4 linked regions of the Lytechinus pictus genome follow. The protein of the gene in region 1 purifies or fractionates together with the protein of each later gene. This does not show direct contact. Links are inferred from orthologs where the notes say so. Each region holds a gene or a part of one and is shown in the gene's direction. Other genes may lie near its edges. The genes, in order: serine/threonine-protein phosphatase PP1-beta catalytic subunit, coiled-coil domain-containing protein 85C-A-like, WD repeat-containing protein 82-like and F-actin-capping protein subunit beta-like.

What was found.
Region 2: the proteins of serine/threonine-protein phosphatase PP1-beta catalytic subunit (region 1) and coiled-coil domain-containing protein 85C-A-like purify together in Homo sapiens (affinity purification with mass spectrometry; 3 studies listed by BioGRID and IntAct, with this or other methods). This does not show direct contact. The link is inferred for Lytechinus pictus from reciprocal best matches to the Homo sapiens genes PPP1CB and CCDC85C.
Region 3: the proteins of serine/threonine-protein phosphatase PP1-beta catalytic subunit (region 1) and WD repeat-containing protein 82-like purify together in Homo sapiens (affinity purification with mass spectrometry; 5 studies listed by BioGRID and IntAct, with this or other methods). This does not show direct contact. The link is inferred for Lytechinus pictus from reciprocal best matches to the Homo sapiens genes PPP1CB and WDR82.
Region 4: the proteins of serine/threonine-protein phosphatase PP1-beta catalytic subunit (region 1) and F-actin-capping protein subunit beta-like purify together in Homo sapiens (affinity purification with mass spectrometry; 3 studies listed by BioGRID and IntAct, with this or other methods). This does not show direct contact. The link is inferred for Lytechinus pictus from reciprocal best matches to the Homo sapiens genes PPP1CB and CAPZB.

What each region holds. Positions count from the first base shown.
Region 1 is NC_087251.1:11,502,830-11,510,052, forward strand, and holds the start of serine/threonine-protein phosphatase PP1-beta catalytic subunit, read left to right. Parts: upstream 1-4,222; 5' UTR 4,223-4,254; intron 4,255-4,392; 5' UTR 4,393-4,538; coding exon 4,539-4,590; intron 4,591-7,223. UniProt on the Homo sapiens protein: Protein phosphatase that associates with over 200 regulatory proteins to form highly specific holoenzymes which dephosphorylate hundreds of biological targets.
Region 2 is NC_087251.1:7,709,700-7,717,414, forward strand, and holds the start of coiled-coil domain-containing protein 85C-A-like, read left to right. Parts: upstream 1-4,706; 5' UTR 4,707-4,994; intron 4,995-5,144; 5' UTR 5,145-5,308; intron 5,309-7,715. UniProt on the Homo sapiens protein: May play a role in cell-cell adhesion and epithelium development through its interaction with proteins of the beta-catenin family. May play an important role in cortical development, especially in the maintenance of radial glia.
Region 3 is NC_087247.1:65,194,183-65,201,760, forward strand, and holds the start of WD repeat-containing protein 82-like, read left to right. Parts: upstream 1-4,577; 5' UTR 4,578-4,820; coding exon 4,821-4,984; intron 4,985-7,578. UniProt on the Homo sapiens protein: Regulatory component of the SET1/COMPASS complex implicated in the tethering of this complex to transcriptional start sites of active genes.
Region 4 is NC_087258.1:11,166,487-11,173,571, reverse strand, and holds the start of F-actin-capping protein subunit beta-like, read left to right. Parts: upstream 1-4,068; 5' UTR 4,069-4,456; coding exon 4,457-4,459; intron 4,460-7,085. UniProt on the Homo sapiens protein: F-actin-capping proteins bind in a Ca(2+)-independent manner to the fast growing ends of actin filaments (barbed end) thereby blocking the exchange of subunits at these ends.

The sequences.
Region 1 (7,223 bases):
TTAACAAACATAAAGTCTCCAATTGAATCGTTTACTCGGACTATATTTATTTAGAGCTGGTAATCAAGTGCTCAATTTCAGTTTAATCAGTGCATGGACCTCACTTTCCATAATAACTGCACATTTTCAGCATAAGTGTTTAACAAGTATTCTTAATCTCAGTATACTATTTTATTTCCTTTTAACGGCCTCTCTAATTTTTCCGCTTGCGACCACTTGGATACATTTTGCTAAGGATTGCAACGGTTACAAAATACGTGAAGGCTTCTTAACGGCAAGTGCCCCTTTTAAGCTAAGAATTAAACAAAAAACAAACAAAAACACTGTATTAACACAAGTGCGCTTGTGTTCCGGCCATTCTAAATGTTAATTTTCCCAAGCCAACTTACTTCATGATGTTCCTTTGTATTTTGTGATATCTATTTTGTCTTTTTACGATCATTTCCCTAATGAATATTCCCGTGTAAATGTTACCCTACTAGTAAGATGGCGATCTTAAAATAAAATTGATTATATCAAAGAGCACGGGCGGATTCTGATTCTGCTTTCGCCAATAGTGAGAGGCGAAAAATATATTCATCCACATTTTCCCTGATCGGCCGCTCACAAAGGTGAGTTTTGTTGGTTAATTTCAAGGGTTAGTCTTCTTGGCTTTATTCTTATAAAATTGATAATTTCATCTCATAAGCCCTAATTAAATAATGCGAGCGCGAAGCCAGAGCTGATTTTTTTTTGTAATTTCATGTTGTTTGTCCTGAAAATTGAACATTCTTTGCAACATGATTGATCAAGAACAATTTTATGAAAGGAAAAATAAAGGAGAGATTTAGACCTAAAAACTGGACACTCTTTTTATATTTTGTAATCATGTAAAAGATGGGTATCTTCCTACATGAATCCCATGAATAAAACGAGCGCGAAGCGCGTGCAGAGCTTTTTAAGTATTCTAATCTGAAAATGGAAAATAAGTAAGCACGTTTTAAACAAAGAGCTAGCCATGCGTGCGCGAAGCGCGAGCTCTGTTTCTTTTCACTTTTTTTCACAAAACATATTTTATCATTGTGAAAAGGAAGAGTACTTCCTAAATCAATAATGCGAGCACATAGCTCAACTTAAATTCTTGATTATCCTATCTGACAAGGGGAAAATTTAAGCACTATGTAGAAAAAATTGTGAAGAGGATATGGATATGGATTGCACTTAATAAATGATGCGAACGCCAAATACGAGCTGATTTTTTTCAATATAATTATTTTGATATATAGGAACGGGATATATATTCAAAGCGCATTTTTGTATCATATTCCTCCTAGTAAGTGCGAGCTCAAAATTGTTGATATTCGGATCTAAAAGGGACAATTTGAGGATTAGGAATTCATGAAAAGGATATAATTATCTCATTTAATATTATAATAGGCGTAATGAGAGCGCAAAGTTTGCCGATATTAATTACAACATGTAAGCACTTTTGTAATGATGAATATGATGGGTTTATAATTTAATGCAAGCGCAAAGCGCAAGCCGAAAGTTTTGATAAACTCTCATTAAAAGGCCGGGATAGAATTCATATAGAAGTACATAACTCACTAACAAAAATACGAGCGCGCAGCGCTGGCTGATAATTTTGGACAATCAGACCTGAAAACAAATATTCTAAAATGAAGTACACAAGAGAATAGGTAGGCCTATTTCACAAATCAAAATTTCGAGCTTGCAGCGCAAGCTAAAAAAATGACATTCTAACCATAACACAAAATATTTTAAGTGCACTTTTTTTTCTAAAATAAATGGGTAAATCAAAGAAAATAATGAGAGCTCGATGTCCGAGCTGAAATATGTTTAAATGTAGGCCCACAGTGACTTCTCTGAACCAGATACTAATATTTGAAGCTCCGTATCAGCCTATTGAGCAAGATATGTCCGAGTCATCGAACAGGTATAAGCGATCATAATTTTTTTTCTTCTAATTTTCTAAGTCTTCCAATCGTCATCATCTTATTCACTTGTCTTCCTCCTCTTATTTTTTTCTCTTCTTTTCATCTTATCTCTTTCCCTTCTATTTCTCTCCCTTTTTTGCACCGCCAATATAGGGGGGGGGGGTTCTTTCGTCCCCCATGGATCCGCCTATGAGAAAGAGGTTTAAAATTGAGATTCCCAGCATAAATCAGTGTCATGGCAGCTCTATAATAGGGCAGTTCCTAGCTACACGGTGGGCATAATCCGCCTCCCCGCCCCCCACATGGTGACGTGTTAAGGCGGCAATCATTTGAATTAGGACGAGTGGAGGGGGGGGGGGGGTACCGACAGTAAAAAGGGCATTACTATGAACTACCAATACAACCTTGTTTACAGGGAAACTAGTGACTGCTAAATGAGGACGGGGGGGGGGGGGCTTGGCGACTTCACATTTTTCCAAAGGCAAGTAACAAAAAACGTTTGAAATACCCCCCACACACACTTTCAGAACGGTGCACGAACCGCGGCCGGCCGCCCCTGCAAAAGAAATCGATTATTCTTAAAAGCCCATCTCTGATCTCGACTAGAAATTAATAATATTTATAAGATAATAATAATAATATCTATAAAATATAGGGCTATATGTTCAATTCATCGGCATAATTTGATGCTCAAGTGAAGTCATTCATAACTATAATGGTAATTCAGTAGCCCATTTGTTTGTGAAATTTGATTGCCTTTTACTCCCGATTTGAAACGTCTAATTTCAGAAATTGAGGGCTGTGTGTGATCAAATTCCTTTATCACCACATTATGCATCTATACAGAGGCGTCAATCCTTGGGGGGGGGGGGGGGGGGCGGCAGGGGGGGGGGGCGATCGCCCCACCAATGAAAATATGGGGGGGACAAACATATCGTTTTGCCCCCCCCCCCCAATAATTCCGCATGTGCAATAATAAAGTAAGATTGTAATGTTACACAGAAATCAGCAAGCGATACACAACTCGTTCTTTATTTAAAATCGTGCTCAAAATGTCCGCTTTTTAGATTGGAATATAAAAATTTTCAGCTCGCACTTCGCGCTCGCATCATTTCTGTAGCAAAAACCCATACTGCTTTTCATGATTAAATAGGTGAATAGAATGTCTCGTTTTCAGTTCTAAACCTCAAAAGAACTCCCGCTCCGATTTGCAATAGCAATAATCTTTTGTTGAATATATGTCTTGTTCTTTATTAAAAAAACTCCATTAAACACAAATTTTTTCAGATCGAAATATCAAAATTTTCAGCTCGCGCTTCACGCTTGCATCTGTTGTTCTTTTAGATACCCATCTTAATCATTAGTACCAAAAATGCTTAGAAAATCAAGCTTTCAGGTCAGAATATAAAGACATTTCAGCTCGCTCTCGGCACTCGCATTATCTGTGTAGTGAAATATGTATCCTCCACATGAGTTACTACAAACAGGTATCTTTTTCCTGCTTTCAGGTCAGTATACTAAAAAATTTCAGCTCGCGCTTTGCGCTCGCAATAATTTGTTGGTGAGATATGTGTCTCTTTCTCATGAGTCATATATATATATATATATATAGGCCTATGTGGGTGTGTGTGTGGGGGGTGAGTTTGTTTGTTTTGATCGAGTGCCTTTGGAACGTTGATTCATGACTTTGCCCCCCCCCCCCCCCAATCTGAAAAATGGATCGACGCCCCTGCATCTATAGGCCTACAGCAAATATCTCTATAAAAAAAAAGGAACTTGGAAAAAAAAGAATCGATTCCGTTTGTTACGGGACGGCAGCCGGGGTTATACATTTTTGTGGTAAATTAGACCTTCATTCAGGGATCGGATGAAAATTAATGTAAACAAAATTACATGTAATCTTCAGAAGACGAGCAAAATAATTGAAAACCGAAGATCACTTAAAAATTGCACAAAGTCGCTAGCCATGACATTATTCCCATCATGGACCTACTCGCATAACTTGGCCGAAGTGTAGCAATCAAAATTTAGGGAAAACCCCCTCTTGAGTAGGTTAAGCGGGCCCATAAGCGGACCGGAACAATACAAGGAAGTACTAAAGGGATGCATGCCCTGGTTTTTATCTCGACTAGGCTTATGAGACATATTCTTATTAAAGAATGTCATTTCATTGAAATTGTCTCTATTTTTCACTCAATAAATTGATAAAACGTATGTCCTGAAATTTGTGACCCTGTACTATGAAGGATGGGGCTCATTTTCCAAATAAGGAAATTCCCGTCCCTATGACGTCATGGTCCTGAAAGTGTATTGCAGGGCAAGTTTGATTTTGTAGAGAATTATTCTGAAAATAATTGGAATTAGATTATATGAAACTATTGTTTAGGTACATAAAATCTTTTTCTGTTGGAATCTATATTTTTCCTTAATTTTAGACTCTCGGCTTTTCTCACAGAACAGCTCGAATCTCCGAGCCGAAACAGAATTCCTCGCTCATCACGTCCGATCATTATAACGTACCGGTACACGGCCTACTAGAACGGTTGGCCTGCCTGGGTTAAAAATCGCCGATCAATAGTTTCTCACCGGCACTTTCTAATCATGGCGGATTTGGAATTGGATATTGACAGCATTCTCACTCGTCTACTGGAAGGTATTACTGTTGACATATTTGTAATGTGTTGTGGGTGATTATTTTGTACATTGTTGCTTTAATGGGTCAAAAATCATGATTTTTTTTCGAACCAGGAAGCGTTTCAGTAAACGCTGCGTGTAATCCGCAGATGCTGTGTGTTGCGTGAATGAGCTCGGTACGGTACCGGTATAGGCCTAGTGCATTCGTGATCAAATGCAAATGACTTCAATCAGCTCCAAAGCAACGTCGGTTCTGTTCATTAATATTTATGAGAGCAAATCGTTGTTCAAGAAAGTGCTTTTTTAGTTGAACACATTTGCACTTGCAAAATTAAATCTGCCATAACTGGTGATGATTGTCAGATGAATGGACATGATGGAGGTGGAATTAAATTTGAGTCAACTGAAAATGAAATCAAAGCTGAATTTACAGAGTTATTTGTAACGTTACAAAGTGTGCATGCGTGTATTCTGGGGGGGGGGGGGGGGAGGCGAGTAGGCGAAAAAGAGGGCGCCAAAAGAGAGGAAAAGAAAATGGAGAGTTAAAAGAAGGGAAAGAAGAGAAAGGGGAAAAAGGGAAAGAAATAGAGAGGGGAAAAAGGGAAGGGGGTGGGTGCCGAATTGATGTTCGGCCTAGGGGGGCGCCAAGTTGATGTTCGACCTACATTGTAGGAATGTAGGGGGCGCTGAATTAATATTTTACTTTAGTGGCGCCAAATTAATAGGACTTAGTGGGGCGGGGAATTGAAATTCGACACTGGTGCCGGATTGATCCTCAACCTGGGGGGGGGGGCAGAGAATTGATGTTCTACCTAGGGGTGCCGATTGGAAGTTGATGTAGGGGCGCCAAATTTATGTTCTACCTAGGCTATGGGTTGCCGAATTGATGTTCGACCTAGGGGTGCCAAATTGATATTCGACCTAGGGGTACTGAATTGAAGTTCAACATAGGGGTGCCAAATTTATGTTCTACTGTACCTAGGGGCACCGAATTGTTACATTTGACATGGGGGGGGGGCACCAAATTGATGTTCAACCAAGGAGGGCGCCGAATTGATGTTTAACCAAGTGGGGCGCTGAATTGAAGTTCGACATACAGGCGCTGAATTGATGTCTGACCTAGGGGCACCAAATTAATGTTTGATATAGGGGGCGCTCGCATCAATTGTTTAGATAGATACCCATCCTATTCATGGTTACAACATGTACTTTAGAACATCCAGTTTTGGTTTTGACTTCGGAAATCGGAATATCAAAAATTTTCACCTCACACTCTGCGCTCGCATAAAGTGATTTGTTAGATACCCACCCTGTTCATGATTACCAATAGTGCATATAATGTGCAGTTTTGGGCGGAAATTCAAAAATTTTCAGCTTGCGCATTGCGCTTGCAAAAATGTTGAGATAGATGCCCATCTTCTTCTTGATTACCAAAAGTGCTTTACTTTCAAACTTTAATAATAATATAATAATTACATGTATGGTTGAAACTACCCCTTATCGACCACCTAATCTTCTAAGCTTCGTATCTGCGAAAATATTCATCAATTTTTACCCAGATTTCGTCTCATTTGTGCAGAAAATTGAGCAGATCAGATTCCTATGTTTCGCTCGGCGACTCTGATTCAATCCGCGTATCGACGAACAACGAATACGACAATTTTACATTTGCTCATTTGCACCCGTCTTTTGAAACCGACCACCCGTGTTACGCTAAGTTTACGGCCGATTCTTGTCGCAGTGGTGAAATATTTTTACTTTTCAAAATCAGTTCTATGATGTCAACATGTTAAATTATCGTCTCAATACTTCCACTGCGAGCTCCGGCACATGATTCGACGATTGACGACGGATATTCGTTCTAAAGCTGTTTCCTATCGGATTTCTTGGTTTTTCAGCGGGGTTTGGGTCTGGTCAATACAATTTTGATTAATTCTACTAAATTTTTACTTTTTGTTTCTTTTTTTCTCGTAAAATCGATTCTTACCGTTTCTACGGACACTGCGCCTACTCTCCCGCGCGTATCGTTTGTAATACGCAATAATTTTAACACGCGCAAGGTGGTCAGTTTCAAAAGAGGTGGTCGATATGTGGTAGTCTCACCATACTTCTTATTAAGCGCTTTTTCAAAAGTTACAAAGCGCTGTACAAATGACAAAACAAATACAATCGGTGAAAACTTAAAACAAAACTACACAAAATGAGATTTAAGCATCTTCTTAAACACATCAATAGAAGAACATTGTCTAAGTTTATGGGGTAATCTATTCCAATATTTGGGGGCAAACACAGAAAATGACCTATCACCTACTAATTTTAATGTTCGGGGGATGTGAAGATGGATATGTGATGATGACCGAGTGTTGTTCATTGCTTGAGGTCAAAATATCAACATTTCTCAACTCGCATTTCGCGCTTGCATTAATTGTTTCTATACGTATACCCATCATGTTCACAGGTACAAAAAGTGCTTAGAATATGTAGATGAAAATATTTTTTGGCCTCCCCCCCATAGTGAAAGCTGGATCCACCACTGGTAAAGAAACGTCAGCTCCTGCCCACATAATTTTAGTAAAATTGAAACCCCAAAGTGCTTAAAATTCTATGCTTTCAGGTGGAGGCATTTCATAAAGCTGTTTGTAAGTTAAGAGC
Region 2 (7,715 bases), about 3.8 Mb from region 1:
GTTGATATTGCAATTTCGCTTTTAGAAATTGTGCCCTCACGCTCTTCAAACCTCGTTTTATCTGGTCATGCAAAAGTCAAGTCCTCCATCTGATGTCTGGATGAGCGGTCGCACGCTGATAAGCTATTCAGAAATGAGGTCACCGATGCGGAGCGGCCGCCATCGTTGTACCGTCAAACATGTGCGGTTCTCAGAGAGAGGGATGGGGGTGGGGGCTTCTGGGAACTTGAACCATTAGTTTACGGACTATAGACGAGCGATAGAACTGGAGGAGGCCGGGGGGGGGGCAACTGCCACAAAAGTAGCATTTTTTGCTTCCAAAACTCCCTTGATAAACAAGCAGAGAACTGTAGGATGATAAATAGAACTTTTCTTTAATTTGTACATTTCTGTTTTTATTGGTAAATAAAATCAATCTCAAAATCAGTCACAATATTGACAAGTCAAATGAACCATAATTGGAAACAATCATAAAAAACAATTTTAACAACAATAAAATAATTGATAATAAAAAAGCATGTATTGTTCAGGAACGAAGCTCACTGAGACATACAGTATAAATTTTAAATCAAGGATAAGTGAAAAAAACCATGTAATGTGAGGATCGCTCCTGCCATTACCAGAAAAGACATTGGCAGTAATAAAACAACACATTGTTTAAAAACAAACAACAACCAGAAAAAAATATATAACAGTACGTAGTATATACTCTTTTTCTTCTTCTTCTTCTTCTCCTCCTCCTCCTTATCCTTCTTCTCCCTCTTCTTCTTCTTCCCAGTTCTTCTTCCTAGCTTTCTTAGGTTTTTTTTTTTTATTCGAAACAGCATTGCATATTGGTTGATATTGCAATTTCCCTTATAGAAATTGCGCCCTCCCGCTCGTCACACCTCATTTTATCTGGCCGCGCTGCAAAAGTCGAAGTCCTCCCTCCTCCTTCTTCTTTTTCTTCTTCTTCTCATGCAGTTTATCGACGATAAACTCAGTTTTTCACTGATAAACTAAGTTTTTCGATCGAAAAACTAAGTTTATCGAGAAAACCCTACTTTATCGCGTGATAAACTGAGTTTTCACTTGAAAAACAGAGTTATTTTATAAAATATTTATCAAGCGAAAAAATAAGTTCTTCAAATTCAATAAACTAAGTTTTTCGATTTGAAAAACTCAGTTCATCGAATTTGAAAAACTTAAATTTTTCGATTTCGAAAAACTCATTTTTTTTCCATTTTGATAATCACGAACAGTTATTCACCATTAATATATCGGTTGTGCAGCCACATACCTATGGCGGGGGAGTATGGGTAAGGGTTTTAAAATAGGGTGATCATTGTCTTTAGGTCGAAGGGCACTGAAAGCAGGGGGAGCAGAGGGGGCACTTGCTTCCCACAATAAAATTTTGGGGTTTGGCAAAACGATTTTATTGGGGGGAGGGTAAAGATAAAGGGATTTAAAAAGGGGGATCAATGGCATTGGGTCCAAGGGGACTGGAAGTGGGGTAAGAGGGGGCACTTAATTGCCCCCCCCCCCAAAAAAAAAAAATGGGGGTGTGACACAGGATTTTGTCTTGGGGTATATGCATACAGATGTTAGAAGAAACTTGAAAGCGAGTAAGCAAAGTAGCCAGCTTGTCACGCTTATACATAATTTTTTCCAGAGTGAAATTAACGGATTTCGTGCACAATTTGGGATAATTTTATGAAAATATTCAGTGAAAAAAAATGTAAGTTTTCAAAATGTTTGGGGGTAACTGTCCCTCTCCTGCTGCGTGCGGCCATGCCCCGCATGTGCCCCTTAAAATCAGAAAATAATTAATCATAAAAAAACAAATGAAGGCACAATTTCATAACTAAAAAATTGAGAAATTTTCGCCCCCAAGGAGCACTATCACTTATCATTATATTCAATGTAAATGCAAATCCTATGGGAATTACTTGGGGCAATCACGTGCCCCCCGGTAAATTGCCAATTCGTCCACTGCCAACTCGTCCACTCACCACATGGTCTATATATACCTTCATTTAGTCTAACGCCGTTCCGTCCATCAACGTTTCGTCTACCAACCATTTGGTCCAATAACCATTTGGTCCGATCGTCACTTCGTCTAATTGCCAGTTCGTCTATCGTCTCATTAATTTTACCCAATTAACACTTAATCTAATTAGACCAACTGGTAAATGGACTAAATGGCTATTGGACCAACTGGTTATTAGACGAAATGGCAGTTATACTAAATGGATATCGGACGAACTGATGGTAGACCAAATGATAGCAGACGAGTTGGCAATTGGACGAATTGGCATTGGACCTAATGAAAATACCACCCCACCCGCCACCATCCGGTAATTCTGCTGCTCCTAAAACGAAAGGGCTCAAAATAATTGCAATTGTCTTACTTAACAGACTGAAAGTTTTGAACTAACGAGAAAAGAAAAAAAGACAATGAGTTTATCAGAAGTAAATAATGGCATTTATGTATAATTGGGGCACATGGGCACGCTGGAGAAGAATTTTATTATGACATGTGTGACAAAGGGAGCTAAAGAGGCGATAAATTTCTCAGTTATGAAACTGCATGACACTTTATAGACAAAAGTTCCTTCATTGTTGATTCTTTTCATTTTTAACTTCAAGGGGACACATTAGGTTATTGCTGTACTCAGCCAAGGGGGCAGATCTCCCCAGACATTAAGAAAAACCTTACAAAAAATTCACCAAAAGTGCCACGAACTCCTTCAATTTCAACTTAGAAAATGCAAAAGTGCCCCATGACAAGCTCGATTACTTAATTCGCTCCCTCCTTTTCAAAATTCTTCTAAAATCTTTATGCCTCTTGCCCCCTCCAGGCCCCAGGACAAAGAAAATCGCACAAAGCATCTAGGGAAGGGGGCAAAAACTAATTGCGCAACCCCAAAATTTATTGCTGGGATGGAGCAAGCTCCCCCCCCCCCCCCTCTGCCCCTCGCTTCCAGCGCCCTTGACCTCAATGACAAGGATCCACCTTTTTTAGAACCCACTTACACCCATCCCCCAAAACATGTTTACCAACCCAAACTTTATTTGCAGGGGTGCAAGATTCCCCTCTTCCACCCCTCTCACCCCCGGCTTCCAGCCCCCTCGGACTCCATGACAACGATCCCTTTTTTAATCATACCCACTATACCCCTGCAGATCACTGACTGCACAACGGCCCGCACAACGGCCATAATGAATAACTCTGATTATCGAAATTGAAAAACTCAGATTATCGAAAAAAAATCAATTTATCAAATTTAATAAACTAATTAAGTTTTTCGAATTTGATTTTTCGCCAATAAACTTAGCTTTTCGCTAATAAACTCAGTTTATCACTTGAAAAACTCAGTTGATCAAGAACTCTGTTTTATTTCAGTCGAAGCATAGCCTCGCGAAACTCTGTTTTATCAAATGAAAAACTAAGTTTATCGGAAAAAACTTGTTTAATAAACGAAAAACTAAGTTTATTCAATGAAAAATTATGTTTCTCATTTGAAAACCCCCAAACTGAGCTTTTCTTGATAAACTGAGTTTATCGGCGAAAAAATGAGTTTATCGGTGAGAAACTGAGTTTTTCACCTTTATGGGTTAATGGCGCGCCATATCCTCCTCTTCCTCCCGTAAGGCAAGGGCGGAAATCTCTCCCCAAATGTAGGGGGACCAGGGACTGGAAATTTGACAAGAAAAAAAAAATGGTTATCGCCCCAAATGTAAGGTAATTTCGACCCAAAGAAATTTGACAAGCAAAAAAAAAAAAAGTTATCACCCCAAAAGTAAGGTCATCTCGTCCAAAATACATGTTTTATTTCGATTTTTAATGATGTATTTCTTTCCATCATAAAAGACCAAAATAGTAGGGGGACATTTGATATTGTGCCCCCCTACTATTTTGGGTAGGGGGACGCGTCCCCCCTGGGATTTTCGCCCATGCCGTAAGGACTTGGAAGGGTTGGAATCCAGTTTGATTCGCACGCTGCTATGTCTGACAAGAACATTTGATCAAAGAGTAATATGCATGAAATCTGAAGGTGTGTTTAAAGGGATGGTCCGGGCTGAAAATATTTATATCTGAATAAATAGAGTAAAATTCACAGAGCAAAATGCTGAAAATTTCATTGAAATCGGATAACAAATAACAAAGTTATTGAATTTTGAAGTTTATCAATATGTTATGAAAACAGTTATATGCACATCGTCATGAATATTCATTAGATGGGCTGATGATGTCACATCCCCACTTTCCTTATATGTTATTACATGAAATCATAAATGTTTCATTATTTCATACATGTGTACATGATGTGTCTCCATTATGATGAAATAAGTTGCGGCAATAAATAACTAATGCACTTAATCAGTTATCAATCAATTGGTTCTTGGTAGAAAAGTTTTTCATAAACCTAATTTCATATAATAAAATACAAAAGAACAAGTGGGGATATGACATCATCAGCCCACCTAATGAATATTCATAAAGACATGCCTAGATCTGTTTCACATGAATTATGCAAATATTTAAAATTCATTAACTTCGTTATTTGTTATCCGATTTTGATCAAATTTTCAGCATTTTGTTTTGTAAATTGTACTCTTTTTATGGGATTGAGATATAAATATCTCCAGCCTGGACCATCCGTTTAACCATGGAGCTTGGTTTAACAGGGCTATCGATGATATATATAAGAAGGGGAACTGATGGGCGTGGCCATGCAAGTGCGTGTCCCATAATGGACCTGCGATGTCCATGGATGGTGTTTTCGATCAGTGGTTTTCATAGAAAGCGCGAAACATAATAATAACATACATGTAATTCATCAGTGGAGAGGAATGTACCACGCGCCGAACGTTATCAATTCCGGTTTTGCGGTTTTGGGGGAAGACCCCCCCCCCCCCCCATTCCTATATATATATATATATACTAGTATATCATGCCTTCCAAAAAACTTCGAGCATTACTTCTTACAACTGTACATATTCTTCCGCTGGTATGTAATCCCCTTTTTATCTTTTTTAACTTAAATAAATGCAAAAATTGATTTAATGAAAATGAAAATATCACATCAAAATTTAAATTCCAAAATTATGTCTTTGAAAACCCAGTTCTTCTAACAATAATCTAAATTATTTAATGCTAGCAGAGGGAGTATATTGGAATGAGAGGACAGCAGGTTCTGTTAAATGATTGAGGTCAGAGGTCATGATGCGGCCATGTTTACTACAAATTTGACGTGTGTACTATGATGGAGGAGAGCAGCAAATTATCGGCAATTGAATGCATTTCAACTTGAGGGCTACCTATGTGAGTATTCCATTATTTCCTATCGTCAAATATGTGCTTGTAATTATGTTTGTTATTATTATTCAATTCCACTGATGAATTGGATTACAGTTACGTAGCGGCTGTACGCTTTTCAAAATCGTTTCTGACTTCGCCTTCGCCTCGGCCGGGTTCGAGTTGGGCCCAGTTGCAGTGGCAGTGCCTTGGTTTGCGCTGGTAAAGGCTAGCATCGCGTCGCCGGTCGCCTCAGACCAGAGACAGAGTGACAGAGATCGAGAGTCTTCGTCGTCTTGGCTGCCGGGCCGGTGCGGTGAGCTGTGCCTTATTTTGTTAGGCCAAGCGAGAGCGTGCCGTGAGCCGAGACTTTGAATGGACTGAGTCTGAGCTTAGAGTGATACCTCGGTCACACTCACAGTTGCTCTACGGACTATGCCTACGGCGAGTCGAAAACAGCCGTTTAAATTTTTTTTGTACCAACTACATAGGCCTAGCCCTAGGTGGTTTGATTAAAAATGAATTAAAACGGCTGTTTTCGACTCGCCGTACGGCCGTCGTAGACGTAGTCTTAGAGCAAATGAAATGTTAGACAGGAATAACCGTCGTTTCTGGGGATTTATTCAACAATTTCTGACATTTTACTATAATCCCCATTAACCGACGGTAGGGTATACGTGTTGGCTCGCATGTGTTCTCATTCCCACCCTTTTGTCAATTCACAGTCCAAAGTTTGATGTAATTTTACACATCGAATTTACAATCTAAGGATGTATGGTTGGGGGTCCTAAAGCTACGCGGGTCCTAAAGCTACGCACCACTCATCGCGCATGCAATTCCAATGGCAAAATAAATGCGCACTCTAGCTCTGTGTGTGAAGCTGTGACGAACGATCCCTATTCAATTTTTCTACAGAGGCTGCAATAAATCCTCGAATGCAGAGAAAACCAGCAAATGTTTGGAATTTCGGAGTTATATTCACTTTGATTTCATATTTTCCTATAATAATACGGACATATTTTAGAAATTGAGGCACAGGAAATACTATTTCTTTGCATGATAAATTGAGAGCGTAGCTTTAGGACCCCTTCTACATCGGGCGGCGAAATTAAGAGGTGTTCGGAAAACACGGCGGGATTTTCGTATTAGTGAGTTTTGTGATATTTTCTTCTTGGTTAAGGATATTTAGAATATTTATTACAAATTAGTGAAAAATAATTGTTCAAATATTACAATTGGCATAGTTTTTATCATTTGGAAACAAAGTGCGTAGCTTTAGGTCCCCCCATCATATAACCAACAAACTTTTAAAACTGGATATTTTGTTAACAAAATACTTTAAACGATATAGATGAAAAGGCATGAAAAATTATACTTTACCGATGTTTAATTGGGTTGAACACGATAAAAAAGGTCAATATGGCAGCCAAACTATGAAATATTTACAAACGAACGGAGAGGGCGTCAACAATCACGAATGTGATATCGATATTGCTTTCGATATTATACGATCTGCTCCTTATTTGAATTCATGAAAAGGATACGTACACTCTACCTCGGTAATCATATAACGCGAGCGCGTAGCGCTTGCTGGTTTTTAAAGATAAAATTATCATCACTATTATTTACTATTATTATATAATTATCATTATCGCTAAAATCATTGTGGTTTTTAAATATTATCGTTGTAAGTATTAATATTTGTAGTAGTAATATTTCATTATCGAGGTTATGTTATACCGAGGTTATACCGAGGTTGTTTTACCTGACTGCTAAGAAAGCACGAATGCCTGTGAGCAAGCAACCAGGGGACCAACGGCTTAAGGTCCTCTCCGAGGGACCTGGTAATGAGGATAAATGCCTTACCAAAGGGCACTAGCGCACCACTTGGGAATCGAACCCGGGTCACCGGAATCCGAAACCCCCGCTCTACCGACTGAGCTATCGCGCCTCCTACTGAGCTATCGCGCCTCCTACTGAGCTATCGCGCCTCCTTATCATCGTTATTATGTTATTTTGTTATTATGTTATTATGTTATTTTGTTATTATGTTATTATCATCGTTATTATGATTATTATTATTTCATTATTATCATCATCATCATCATTGTCATTATTTTCATTATATATATTATCACTATGGTTAAGAGATAAAAGAATAATATTTTTCAGATAAATGTTATAGTAAACTGGTCGGGTTGATAAAATTTCTTGTTTGAAATTGAATTCCCAATTGGTCATGACCAGTTCCAGTCATTCTCTGATGATGTCGAGTACCAGTGGCGTACCGTGGGTCACGGCATTGGGGGGGGGGGGGCACCAGCAAAAATTTTGAGTCATTTACTGGGCTGGCGAAGCGCGCTCAATTGCCAGGTACTGACGTAATAGAAGCATTTTAAGGACTGTTTCATTAAACAGATATGTATCTCACTGA
Region 3 (7,578 bases), on another chromosome or scaffold:
CATGTGGAATATTTCATATATACTGACCAGGATATGCATATAATTATTTGGTATGTGAAAATAAGCGAAATTTAGTGCCACAACTTTTTAAATGGAATTACCATTGCTATGCTTTTCTGATCTGTGCTCTAATTAGTAAACTTGTTAGAGTTGAATTTGTGTATCCATCACCCCTTCCTTTATGTAAAGGTGTATTGATGTATAAGCACATGTCGTGCAACATCCATGCTCTTCCAAATTAAAATTTCATAAGAATTCAAATTATATTGTGCCCATTTTTATATACACTGTACTTATAGATATTTCATGGCTGAGCACACGAAGGTCCAACTTTGAAGGCACATTAAAAGTAACAACCTTCTTGTCCTCAAACTTCTATCCAATTTTTCACCCTGAATGTGTGATTGAACAGTATGAGAGGGAGGGAAGGGAATATTTACTCAAAATTTATATAGAGAAAGTTGAAATGAGAAAGGCAAAATGGTAAAGATGCAGCCGGAGAGAAAACAAGAAACAGACGATCAACGAGAAGAGATGGAAAGTAGAGGAAGATCAAAGAGAGAGAGAGAGTGAGAGAAAGGGGGAAATGACGAGGAATGAGAAAAAGGTGAGGAGAGAAAGGCGAGACGAGAGGGAGATAAGAGGGCTTGATATAAGGGAGATGGGGAAATAAAAGAGAGATATAAGGGGGATATATAGAAAGGGAAGGTATAGAGAGGGAGAGATGATAAAGAAGAGGAAAATCAGAGAGAAAGAAGCCAAAGAGAAAGGAAAATTAATAAAGAGGGAGATCGCGATGATATAAAGGGGAGAAATAAGAGAGAGAGGGGCATGAAAGTAGAAATGGAAGAAATAGAAGGGGATGGAGAAAAGGGAGGATAAGAGAGATGGACAGAAGAGGAAAATCAGAGAAAATGAGATGAGATGAATAGTTGAATGAGAAGGGAGGTTTAAAAAAAAAGCTAGAGAAAAGGGACATGATTTCTAATCGTTAAAAGATTTTTTTTTAATGCAACCAGCTTGTAGGCCTTTATTGTTCAGACAAATTGTAGGCCTACTCAGAAAGCAAATTTGTTGTTGGGCCTTTCTTTGTCATAGTGTGCGCGTGAAAAAGGTCGAGTTTTTATGATTTCATGTCTGTATGTTTACTCCCCTTTACATTTTTTTAATAAAAAAATGTGACTAAATCAACATTTTCAGTTATGAAAGTATTCAATAACATATAGTTCATGATGTAACAAAGCAAACTAAAACTTTAAACAGCACAAGGAACACTTTCTTTGCGTTCCTTTCTCCCATCTGCCTTCACGCAGCATTTGTCGACTAGCCAGTATTGACCTAGCAAAATGGCGGCGCGCTCAGTCGAGCGTGAAGTCCGATGCTCTTCGTTGCCGCACGGCTTTGTGTACGTTGGGAATAGGGACACGTATTCCACGTATTTCTAGTTCAGTGGTGACGACTCGCTAAAGGTTCCACGGGCCTAATTACATCAGGAAGGCTAAAGATATTCGTTCGACCCAACCCATTCGAATTTTTGTCAATTTGATATTGCTGATTGTCAAAAATGTATAAATATGATTCAAAATCTAACACTGATTCTAAAAATGGTAACTACTGAACTTCCTTTGCCCAAATTGGGAAGATAAATAAGTGACTTGGAACTATTTTTTGACTGGCGGAATAATTAGGGCTATTTTACTGTTTCAGTTGATGAATTCGATCCATTCATAGTTATCTTCATAAATGGCGATTTATTTTTAAAATGAGCTGGCTACGGTACCCTATCCTGGTCAGATTTGGAATGTCAGATATATAACCTATCCATTGGTAGTAAACATTCCACCCTCTAATTTCACATTTATTTTTTATGAATTTTTCAAAAGTGCCATTTTAACACACAAGTCTATGGGGAATGTTTTACGCGCGTGACACCTGTAAGTAATATGGGAAATCCCTAGTAGTGGATGGTATACCTGGCCAAACTGTTCAGTAGCAAACAATTTCTCATGCACTTATATCAATATGTTTAGTCATCAAGTGGTGCAAAAAAATGGATTTAATGGCTAGCAGGGCTACATCAGGTAAAGTTAGTAGGTCTGGGTAGCCTAGGAATGTATGTAGATTGGTCAATGTATAGAGTCAATGCCTCTTTATGTTCTGATTTATCATTGTTTTGTGTTAGTGTACATCACCTACTTAGCATTAGAAAGACCTTTAGAAATTGCTCATTTTAAAATTGTTCTTAGGAAGGGGGTAGGTAGAGAGGAGGTAGAACTTTGAGAACTTTACTGAAGAGAACTAGAGTGGTACCTTCAAGAAGGAATTCAGAAAGGGCACAGAGTAAGGTAAGGTATCTAATAGTGCTCAACTAAGGATGAGGGGGGGTGGCTGTGTGCTGCAATCTTAGCATAGCCCCCCCCCTCTTTATTAAGCCATGCCATCTATAAAATTATCCTTCTTTCTCTCTCTCTCTCTCTCTCTCTCTCTTTCTATCTATCTATTTATGTATCTCTTCCTTCTTACATTTGAGAGGCAACGTACAGCCCTAGGAAGATTTTGAATAGGTCAAATGCAAGTATACTAAAGTAGTATCTCATTCTTTTATTGTTTCCTCATCAAATCTCATGTATATTTGATATTTGGTATATGTTTGGGGCAGTTCTGGTATCCTGATATCTACACAAAATTTACATACACCTTTATATTAAAATTGATAGGGACCTATATTGTCATTGCATTCACTGTTGGGCTATATGCAGGTAGGATTTGTATACATCCATATATAGTGAAAATAACATGTATGAGTAACACATTAAAATGGGTCATTGCATAGAAAATAGACATTTTCAATGCATTTATTTGTGCTAGTGTGAGTGTACAGATATATAAGAATAGCAAAGTAGCTATTCAAAAAAATAAAATTCATAGGTCCTATAATATAGGTTCCACGGGCCTAATTACATCAGGAAGGCTAAAGATATTCGTTCGACCCAACCCATTCGAATTTTTGTCAATTTGATATTGCTGATTGTCAAAAATGTATAAATATGATTCAAAATCTAACACTGATTCTAAAAATGGTAACTACTGAACTTCCTTTGCCCAAATTGGGAAGATAAATAAGTGACTTGGAACTATTTTTTGACTGGCGGAATAATTAGGGCTATTTTACTGTTTCAGTTGATGAATTCGATCCATTCATAGTTATCTTCATAAATGGCGATTTATTTTTAAAATGAGCTGGCTACGGTACCCTATCCTGGTCAGATTTGGAATGTCAGATATATAACCTATCCATTGGTAGTAAACATTCCACCCTCTAATTTCACATTTATTTTTTATGAATTTTTCAAAAGTGCCATTTTAACGCACAAGTCTATGGGGAATGTTTTACGCGCGTGACACCTAAAAAACGAACGACGATCATATTTTGTTATGTTGCAGACCAACGAACGTAGAGGGCAGCAACACACAAGCGTGTTGCTCTAAGGAAGGTCAACTCCGCTCGAATTTTGTGACCACTTTAAAAAATAAGGTGGGGTTTTGGGAAATTTGTCGAGTTGATTTTTTTTCATTTGCTAATTTCAAATATTTTTTAATGAACAATTATTTAGATCGGTTATTCTGGGTATAAATATTAAAAATATTACTTTTATTTTTAAAGAAAATATTTAGCTTAAATAATCATGATTTTGACATTTGTCCTCATTTTGGAATATTAAGCCTGTGACGAGGATACCTCATATCTCTTATTTTCTTCTGCTGAATTTCGCTGCACCACTAATAAATGCATAGACAACCACCGTAATAATCGAGGTCATTTTTCTGGCCTGGGTGTGCCGAGTCTGGGCCGGTCGCGCAGCTAGCTAGTGACGTTGATGATGCGCTGGGGCTTCAGGCGACTCGTCATAGATCTAGCAACTTAGACAATGACGTCTAATTTGCCTGGCCTGATTTGAAGTGTAATGGCTTCAGGGCTGATGTTTATCAACGATGATTGTTCAAGGTTAGATTTCAAATTTTAAATGTCATTTGACTTTTAAGTCTATAAATCTGAAATAAAGGCGCTGTATCCCCGAAATCCGGGTCTATAATTTCAACTCTGAGTCCGAGACCATGGCATGGACGGCGAAAAAACAACCCATGCATCGGATGCATTGCATTGGCTGCGCGCTGCGCTGCAGCTGCACTGTGATGATGGGTTCAGCGAAGAGCTCAGAGAAAATAAGGTGGTTATATTCAATCCCGAAATGCTTTGCGAGTGGTCACAAAATCGTCTCGACGCAAATCACCTAATACAGCCGTCTGGTGAAATCGCTGATATCAACAATCACCGATTTGGTAATGATTTTAGTTTCCTGAAACTTATATTTGTAAAGTTTTAAATATCAAAGTATGTTTTTATATGTATGTATATTCCTCAACATATTTTTTAAGTTATCTTTGGTATTGTTGTAGTCATATTCTTTCATATTCGTTTTTTGATCGCTACTAATCTGTTGTTGTATTGGATCGGCATTTGATTTCGTTGGCATGAACAATAAAATACGCGCGCAGCTCAGCTGCATGCGCGTATCGAGTTGACCTTCCTTATAGCATGCAACACGCTTGTGTGTTGCTGCCCTCTACGTTCGTTGTTGCAGACGTAGACTAGACGTACACTACATACACTATACAGTACACGCGACGAGTTTAATCCAAGTTTGACGTACATGTATGTAGTGACCGACCAAACCCCGACGATCGATCATAACAGGCAGATTTCAGAAACCCAGCTTAAATTCAACGAACTCAAATCTTGGACTTGAAATTGAATAATCATGAAGTTGTCCGACCAAGTAATGAGAAGCTATCGTGTTGCGAAGCTTTTTAAAGACCAAAACACGGAACGGATCAACAGCATCGACTTCTCACACAACGGAGAAACGCTGATATCGAGCAGTGAAGACGATTCCATCGTAATTTACGATTGTTTAGAGGGAAAGTAAGTGGTGCATGCATGGTGCCGGTGCTGCTTATACCTTGGTCACATTTGCTCTACGGCGGCCTTACGGCGGCCGTAGATACCTGAATTCGAGAGATTTCTGCGGCGGCCGCAGAAAATCTGCGGTGGCCGCAGGGTCGACGTATGGCGGATTCCTACTTTTTACAGGCCGTAGAATTTTAACTCGGAGTTAATATAAGTATAACATTTTTTCTTTTCTACGCTCGCCGTAGAATTCTACTAGAAATTAGACTAGGGTCACTAGCCGTAGGCATGGCGTAGAACGGTCTACGGCGGCCGTACGTCGAGCGTACGGTGGCCGTGAGGCTGCCCTCGTGTTTTTCTTCCCTCCTTTCCCCTTCTCCTTTTGTGTTATCTGCTCGGGAGCCACCAGGTGCGTATTTAGAATTTTGCACCTCGGGGGCCCGACCTAGGCTATAGTATAATTTTGGCCCATATGCATGTGTACTTTTCAGAAAAAAAATGGCGACCCCTCCTCGCCAGGCAAACGGGTGCCTTAAATGCATGTTGAATTATCTTATTTCATAATCACATGAAAAAGGGCAACTGCAGATAATTAACTGCAGACCACTTTTTTAATGATGACTTGATAAAAAGTAGTTTCTATCCTAACCCAGAGAGCTCCCGCCCGCTGCGCGGGCGGGAGCCCAGAAGCTTACCGTGTATTTGACCATATTCACCGGACTAGGGTGATTTATGGTCTAAATATTTCTCCAAATGAATTGTGAAAACAGAAAGTATACAATTACCACGATTATATGGATGAAGGTCTAACGAGTGGCAGTTTCCTGACATCTGGGCACAGACTGGAACCTCAAAAAAACGAAAAGTTCTCTCCTCTTCGATCGGCCATTTTGTTACGATTTTTAACAAAAATGGCCGATCGAAACGGGGGTAGAAGGAGAGAACTTTTCGTTTTTTTGAGGTTCCAGTCTGTGCCCAGATGTCAGGAAACTGCCACTCGTTAGACCTTCATCCATATAATCGTGGTAATTGTATACTTTCTGTTTTCACAATTCATTTGGAGAAATATTTAGACCATAAATCACCCTAGTCCGGTGAATATGGTCAAATACACGGTAAGCTTCTGGGCTCCCGCCCGCGCAGCGGGCGGGAGCTCTCTGGGTTATTTCTATCCATGAATATGATGTAATACCACTTTTTTTAAAGAACAAATGTGACCAGGAAGCACAGATATTGCCCTTTCACCAGCGGCTAACTTGGGTAAAATTATTATTATTATCATTATCATTAGTATTATCATGGGGAGTTAAATGCTGATTTTTGTTGTTTCCTAGGGTGTAATTCTTACTTAAGACTAACGCGTTTATTAACATCTTAACTTTATTCATACAAACAAGTTAACATGGTTAAGGGAGATTTATTTCATAAGTTCAAATAAATAATGCGAACGCGATTTTTGATAGCTTGTGTATAGACCTGGAAATAATATTCTGAGAAGTTTTGTAAGCATGAGCAGGATGGGCATCTCTCTATCTGTCAGGGCGAGCTGAAAATTGTCTATATTCCAAAATGACCCAAAGTTTGGAAATTCTAAGCATTATTGGTAATCATGAACAGGATGGGCACTTAAAAATTATTCGATCCGAGCGCGAAGCACGAGCTGAACCTATTTTATATTCCGTTCCAAATTCTACACAATTTTGGTAATCATTAGGTAATCATTAACAGGATGTCCATCTAACTAATCATTCGATGCGAGCGCGAATCACCCCAAAGGTCGATTTGCCCCCCCCCCCCTTCCTAGGTCGAACATTACCTATCGTATAATATTCAGATCAGTGTCAAACATTAATTTGGCGACCCCCCCCCCGTCCTAGGTCGAACATCAATTTGCCCCCCCCCCCCACTTTTATTACTCCACCTTTTCCCTTTTCTCTTCTTCTTGTTTCCCCGTCCTTTTTTATCTCCCTTTTCTTTCCCTTTCTTTCCTCCCTCTTTTTGGTACCCCCTTTTCGCCTACCCGGGGGCCCGGGCCCTGAACCCCCCTCCCTCCCATCCAGAATACGCGCATGGGCATGGTGCGACACTTTGAAAACTTTCTGAAATGAAATGTCTAATGTAAAATATCATGATGAGTATGACAAGCAATTCATGGTATACTCACTGTATAGTCCCCCTGCGGCCGCCGTGAGGGCGCCTTGCGGCCACCTCGCGTCTGCCGTAGTATTTGTCAAAAACCTACGGCCAGCGCAGGGTCGCCCTAGGGCGACCGTACGTCATGATTTCAAGGACATACGTCAGCCGCTGATTTTTTCTCCATAAATTAAAAAATATGCCGTGCGGCGACTGTAACATATGTGACCGCTAGAGTAAGTGGCCGTGGAAATTCTGAGGCGACCGTAGAATTGCTACTCGCCGTAGAAATTTTAGAATCTACGGCGGCCGTAGCAAATGTGACCAAGGTATTACCTCGAGCGAAGTTCGTGCAGGCTCCACTCCACTTCACTACCGCTACACTGACTAAGTCTACGGCTACGCTCCACCTACCCGAACTTCGGGACCGTGAACCTGATCTGATATTCCGAGTGACAAAGGTGGGGTAAAAAAGT
Region 4 (7,085 bases), on another chromosome or scaffold:
TCAACAAATTCCACGCTCTCATTAAGCATATTAGATTAATAAATGAGTAAATAATATTTTCATAAATTCCTAATAAATAAATTGGCCCCTTTTCAGAATGGAATATCGACAAGTTTCATCTCGCGCTTAGGAATAATAGGAAGATAAGCATCATTTTCATTATGATGACAAAATGTCCTTAGAATGTCCCGGCCCTATGTCAAAATGATAATAAAAAATATCAGCTCGTGCTTCGCGCTCGCATGTTTATTAAGTGTGTTTCACATCCACTTCAAAATTTCCCTACACAGTGCTTGAAATAGTTTTTAAATTGACTCTTTTTCAGATCGGAATATCGAATGTTTCCATCTCGCGCTTCGTGCTCGCATTATTAATCTTCATGATAAAAAAATGTATTCAGATCGATGCTCAGATTCTAGGGCTAAATCTAAATCACGCGCACGCATGTTTATTGAGATAGGCAGCTTGTTCTTTATATAAAACGTTCTTAACTTATCAAGTTTCAGAACAGAATATCAATAATTTTCTGCTCGCGCTTCATGCTCGCATTATTAGGAAGATGCCCAACCCTATTCATGATTTACAAAACATGAATAGAGTGTCCCGTTTTCTCAGGTCTAAAATCTGAATCGCACCAATTGTTTAGTTACATACCTATTCCTTTTATGATTACAATTGCTTAGAATGACCTTTTTTAGGTCGGAATATCAAAAATTGTCAGCTCGAGCGTCGCGCTCGCATTATTTAATTGCTGAAATATGTATCGTCTTTGTGGCTAACTGCAAACAGTTCTTATCAGGCCAGAACGGTAATTTAAAATTTCTGCTCGCAGTAATCATTTCACGCATCTTGTTCAAGATCACAAACATGGCCCAGAAGGTTAAATTTGAAGGACAAAATACATGAAAGTTAAAAAAAAAAAATCACTTTTTTATATAGGGCTTATGAGATTATTTCATATTTATGTTGTTTTCAAAGCTAAGAAGCCCGTAAGAAGGAACTGTGACTAAACTACCCCCGAAATTCAAACAAGCAAAAATCCACTTTGAGCGGCCGATCGGGGAAAATATGGGTGAAAATAATATCAGGCCCCACTCCCTAGTGTCGAAAGCTGGATCCGCCCCTGTGACACATACACACAGATGAAAAAAAATGTTCCCCCATTAAAAAGCATGGACCCCTGTGCCCCCCAGGAAAAAAATCCTAGCTACGCCACTGGGTCTATAAAACGTTTAGCTATTTATACACCTCGAGTTGGCTTGAATCTCCATACCTATCATATTAATTTCATTCAACGTTAACTGAATAACACCGAGGCATATAATGGCTATCTATCATACGAATTGAAGAGTTTTTGGAAGTACATGGATTCATTAAAGAAAACTAAAATGATATACCACAGTGGTGCAATTAGTCAAATCTTTTTCTAGCGCCGGACGAAAAATATATTGCCTGTTGACAAGATGATATCGTTTTGTGATAAATTTTGACCTATAATCGAAAAAATAATATTCACTCTTTATCATTTCCCTTTCTCTCTCCTTTTCCTTTTTTTGCTTGGTCGGATCTTTTTTGGGGAAGAACGCACAAAGTCCGCCCCTTATTTATTCTCCAGTAATAGGATATCAGCCGACATCACTACATAGGGTGATAGTCTGGTGGCCCATTTCAAAATAATTAATAATTATTTTTCGTTAATTTCTTGCAGGAGACAGTGTTCGGGGGTGAATTTGCATCCTGCTATAACTCCAAAACCGGGGACCTCATCGGCTCATCGCTAGCATAGATAGTAACTACATCTTCAGCAGAATCGGCTCTCATTCTTGAAAAATCTGATTGAATTTGCATGTGTTTTTACGGTGAAATAAATCAACATTGTGATCCCTTGTTTTCAGGTCTAATCGGGGGTCTAATATATAATTACATAATCACGTACATCTTTGCACTTTGGCTTATTATATAACATACCTTGTAACATACCTTGTTGTGGGCGTAAAGTTTTACCTAAAAAACTTGTTTGCCCCTCTCCTCCTTCCAATTTCTATGATTTCATGAAGTCATTATAGTGGAAGATAAACTGGTACAGGTTATATGGCGATGTGTGGTTTCAGCAGGTAACGTTATTAATGGGAACATGGGCAAGTAAAGGATTGGTCAGGGTTAAACTTTTCCTTTTTGAGGTTCCAAGATTTCTCTAAGTTTGATTTGAAAGAGTTTATGGAAGTACTCTTCACAACTTGATTTGGCAGGTTGTTCCACTCTGATACTACTCGGTGTGAGAAAGAATTTTGTCTTTTTCGAGTATTTGCTCTGGGTTTCTCAATCTTATATATATGTCCTCTAGTTCTGGAGTCTTCATTGAATTTGAAGAATTTAGAAGTCTCTAGATCGTCAGTTCCTTGAGTTATTCGGAATACTTGGACAAGATCTGCTCTGTGACGTCGGTAAGATAATGAAGGTAACTTCAATTGGGCCAATCTTTCCGGGTAGCTTTTGACCTGTAAACTTGGAACTGCTTTTGTAGCTCTTCGTTGAACTCTCTCGAGTTTCTCCTGATCCTTCTTCAAGTATGGATGCCAAATCTGTGAACAATACTCCAAAGCAGGTCGAACTATGGACTTATAAAGTAGTTTGAAGCTCTTAGGTTCAAGGAATGAGAAAGATCTCTTGATGATCCCCATCTTCTTATTTCCTGCTTTTGCTATCTGATCTATGTGTTGAGAAAAACTTAGCTGATCGTCGAAAATGACACCCAAGTCCTTTTCACTGTGGCTGACTTCGATGGTCGGGCCATCCAAACTTAACTTATAGTCATAGTGCAGGTTCTTTCTGCCATAGTGAAGGACTTTACATTTTCCTGTATTGAAGGGAAGTTGCCATAAGATTGCCCAACTTTGAATCCTCAGTAAATCAGCTTGAAGGATTTCCCATTCTTGATCGTTGTTAACTTCAGCAAATAATTTGGTATCGTCAGCAAATAACTTGATAACACTTGCTTGAGAAGCTAGGACATCTGGTAAATCATTTATGAAAATCAGAAATAGCTCCGGACCGATAACACTCCCTTGGGGAATTCCACTACTGACTCTAACAGAATTTGAGAAAACTCCATTAACAACCACCCGTTGCTCTCTGTTCTTTAAGAAGGATCTGATCCAATTCAAGACACTACCTCTGATTCCATATGAATGAAGCTTAAGCAGAAGTCTTCGATGGGGGACGCTATCAAATGCTTTTTTGTAGTCCAAATATATACAGTCAATTGATTTTCCTTTATCCAAATCCTTAGTCCATTCCTCAATAACTTCCAGAAGTTGAGTAGCACATGATTTGCCTTTTCTGAATCCATGTTGATGTGAGCTATACAGCTGGTTTGTAACCATGTGATTAATAATATTTTCACGAATAATCTGCTCCATAACTTTGCCAATTGTACTTGTTAAACTCACTGGTCTATAATTGTTGGGATTACGTTTATCTCCTCTTTTGAATAATGGAGTTACATTCGCCATCTTCCATGCTACAGGAACAGAACCACTCCTCAAGGATTCATTGAAGAGATCGGCAAGAGGTTGGGCTAGTTCATCTGCAAGTTCTTTCAATATCCGATTTGGAATCTCGTCCGGCCCTGGAGACTTAGTTTTGTCCAGCATCAATAATCTTTCCAAAACCATATCTCTTGTAATGACAATATCATTAAGTGTAGAGTCAAAGGGTCTATCAAGAAATGGAGGAAGATTACTGGTATCTTCTTGCGTAAATATTGATGCAAAAAAGTCATTTAACACCTCAGCTTTATCAAAGTCATCATCCACAGTTGTGCCGTCTGGCCGAGTCAACTCTCCAAGACAGGATTTGGATTTTGTCTTCTTATGCCACTATTATGTGCAAAGTTTGGTGAAAATGATATGGATTTCATTTTAACTGTGGAATTTCCTTAATCACTACATGGTACTATCTTAATATACTATGGTAATTAAATGAAGATAAGGGGAATTTACGTTCGGTGTAATCAAGTATACACAGATTTTTATCTGATTTATAAATTCTAGCCAAACACTTCCGGGTGTAGAATGCGTGGTAGAATGAGGGTGATAAGAAATAATTCGTTCACTCTCTCCCGGGATTCTCCATCAATAGCTGAAGGAATTTCCTTAATTTGATTGATCATTAATTATTAGCTGATGGTTTGTTATAGATATGAAGAAATAGTCTGAAATTAATGAAAACTCTATAAGACAATGAAAACTGATGTAGAGTTTCGTCTTGAATATTCATGCAAAGGCCTTTGGTATTTTTGCCAAATAAGGAAAACCACTGGGAGGGCGTCCCTATTTGAAAAGCCCGGATGTACTTATTCTGCCATTTTGGGAGGGTTCACACGGAAGAGAGCGGCGACCGTAACAAAAACAAAGAGTCATAATCTATTTCTGAGAGCCTAAATTCAACAAAAAAGATGGTAAGTGAAGCTTAAACTCCTTGTAATATATTTATCTTATTTATTTCCATGGTTCTTTGTGATTGTATGAAATAACTGTTATTTTGTCGCTGGTTATTTGGAGTCGCTACTGTAAAGTCAGTCCCACACGTTGACAAATTTGTAGGGTGAGGTGAGACTACCGGGTAACATACCTGAGTAAAAAAAAAATGACAGTGACACTTCACAAATTCCCAATTTAAGGAAAAATATTTCATGAAAATATGATTATTATGTATGGCCTGAAAGAGTATATTCTCCCAAATATACTTTGATACCATTATTTATGTTAGGTAGGACCAAAAAAAAACGAAACTAAAAAGTAATCAGTAAAATTAAAACTTTTTCAGATTCAGAAATAGGCCTACTGTCTTTTAATAAAAGACAGTATTTCTGAATCTGATAATAAGATAGTGATACTGCTAATTAACTAGGCCTAAGTGATATATTTGATAATCATTGACAAATGTCATGACAGAAGATCTATTCTAGGACAAAAAAAAAATGAAACAGCATTCATCTGCTATCTCGAAGATGAAATTAGACTAGATTTGAATGCACGTTAATATGCATGTTATGAGAGGAGTGATACTTAAGTCTTAACTCAGTAGAGGCGCACGGCCAATATGGGAGACTCTCCGATAGGGGAGACAATCTCCCATATTGGAGACTTGCTTTGCAAAAGAACAAAAGAAACAACACCAACAAAAGCGTTATTTTTTCCACCCAAAATTTTGTCTCACTTAGGTCAGAAGCACTCACACGTATTGCGAGGTTAGTATTAGTATACTAACCTCGCACCACGAACCGCGTTTGGCAGTGGATTTCTAACTAGTGGGTCGCGCGTGCTGGGATCTCACTTCTTGGGTCCACAACACACGACTTCTATGGCTTGAATTTTCTGTGCGCGGCGGCATGTAATGAACCCTTGGGTGGGTCAGAAGCCCATTTGTTTTGTGTGTGGATGACAACAAAAATCCTTATCAAAACAAAAGTAGACGGTGAATTTTTAAAGTAGACGGTGAAAAGGGGTAATTTTTTCATGAGGAATCTGCCAATCACATTTTTATTTGCCGCCGAGGTAAACCTTTTGCAGCAAATGTAAACAAAGAAAATTGGTCTCCCAAACTGGAGATTGTCTCTGAAATTGGATACCCAAATTATTTACAAAAGTCTCTGATATTGGAGATAATCTCTCTCTTGGGAGACAGTCTCCCATATTGGCGATGCGCCTCTAGTGTAACTCATCATGTTCATTAAGAACACAGATTCTAACGTTATACTAGTAAGTAGGCCTAAAGTGCCCAAATATCGGACACTTAAGTTAAGCATAATTGGACCAAAACAAAAATACAATCATTGAATCAAATAAAAATCATGTTTATATCTGTAGGACAAATGTTGAATATCAATTTCATAAAAAATAGAATCGAAAAAATTATGGTAAACCGAAAAACGGAAATTATTTACTTACTACCAGAGGCTTTTTTTTGCAGAAAATCGGACGCAGTTTCCAAATATCGGACGCGTAGAGTTGTGCGCCGCGATCAATTTGGCGATTTAAATCACACTCTAGACCCCAAAATAATTGCTTAATTGTTGATAAAATAATATATTTTAGCTGTGCAAATGCCGATTTTAATTATTAGGGGAGAGCGGGGTTATTTGGAACGCGGGGTAAGTTGAAGCATTATAATTTTCTTTAACGCCTAAGTTAAATAAATTTATGCAATACTGCCCTCAATTTATTGCTATTATTGACAGCCATCCACCATATTACAGACAACACATGTGCAACAAGCCTGGTGAAGTTAGAAAGGAATTTTTGTTTTTTCACCTTCTGAGTAATTTTTTTCTCTTTCAAAAATTTTGTATTATCTCAGAGAAGTTTATAGGGGCAGGTCCAAGCTATTGTCCCCTCTGAAGCCAAAATTAAATCTTTGCCTAAATATAACATATTGTATGTCCTTTTAAAGCTTATACTCTGAAGTTTTTGTCTCACCTGCATAGCAGAGTGAGACTATAGGCGCCGCTTTTCCGACGGCGACGGCGGCGGCGGCGTCAACACCAAATCTTAACCTGAGGTTAAGTTTTTGAAATGACAGCATAACTTAGAAAGTATATGGACCTAGTTCATGAAACTTGGCCATAAGGTTAATCAAGTATTACTGAACATCCTGCCTGAGTTTCATGTCACATGACCAAGGTCAAAGGTCATTTAGGGTCAATGAACTTAGACCATGTTGGGGGAATCAACATCAAAATCTTAACCTAAGGTTAAGTTTTTGAAATGTCATCATAACTTAGAAAATATATGGACCTAGTTCATGAAACTTATACATAAGGTTAATCAAGTATCACTGAACATCCTGCATGAGTTTCACGTCACATGACCAAGGTCAAAGGTCATTTAGGGTCAATGAACTTTGGCCAAATTGGGGGTATCTGTTGAATTACCATCATAACTTTGAAAGTTTATGGATCTGATTCATGAAACTTGGACATAATAGTAATCAAGTATTACTGAACATCCTGTGCAAGTTTCAGGTCACATGATCAAGGTCAAAGGTCATTTAGGGTCAATGAACTTTGGCCAAATTGGGGTATT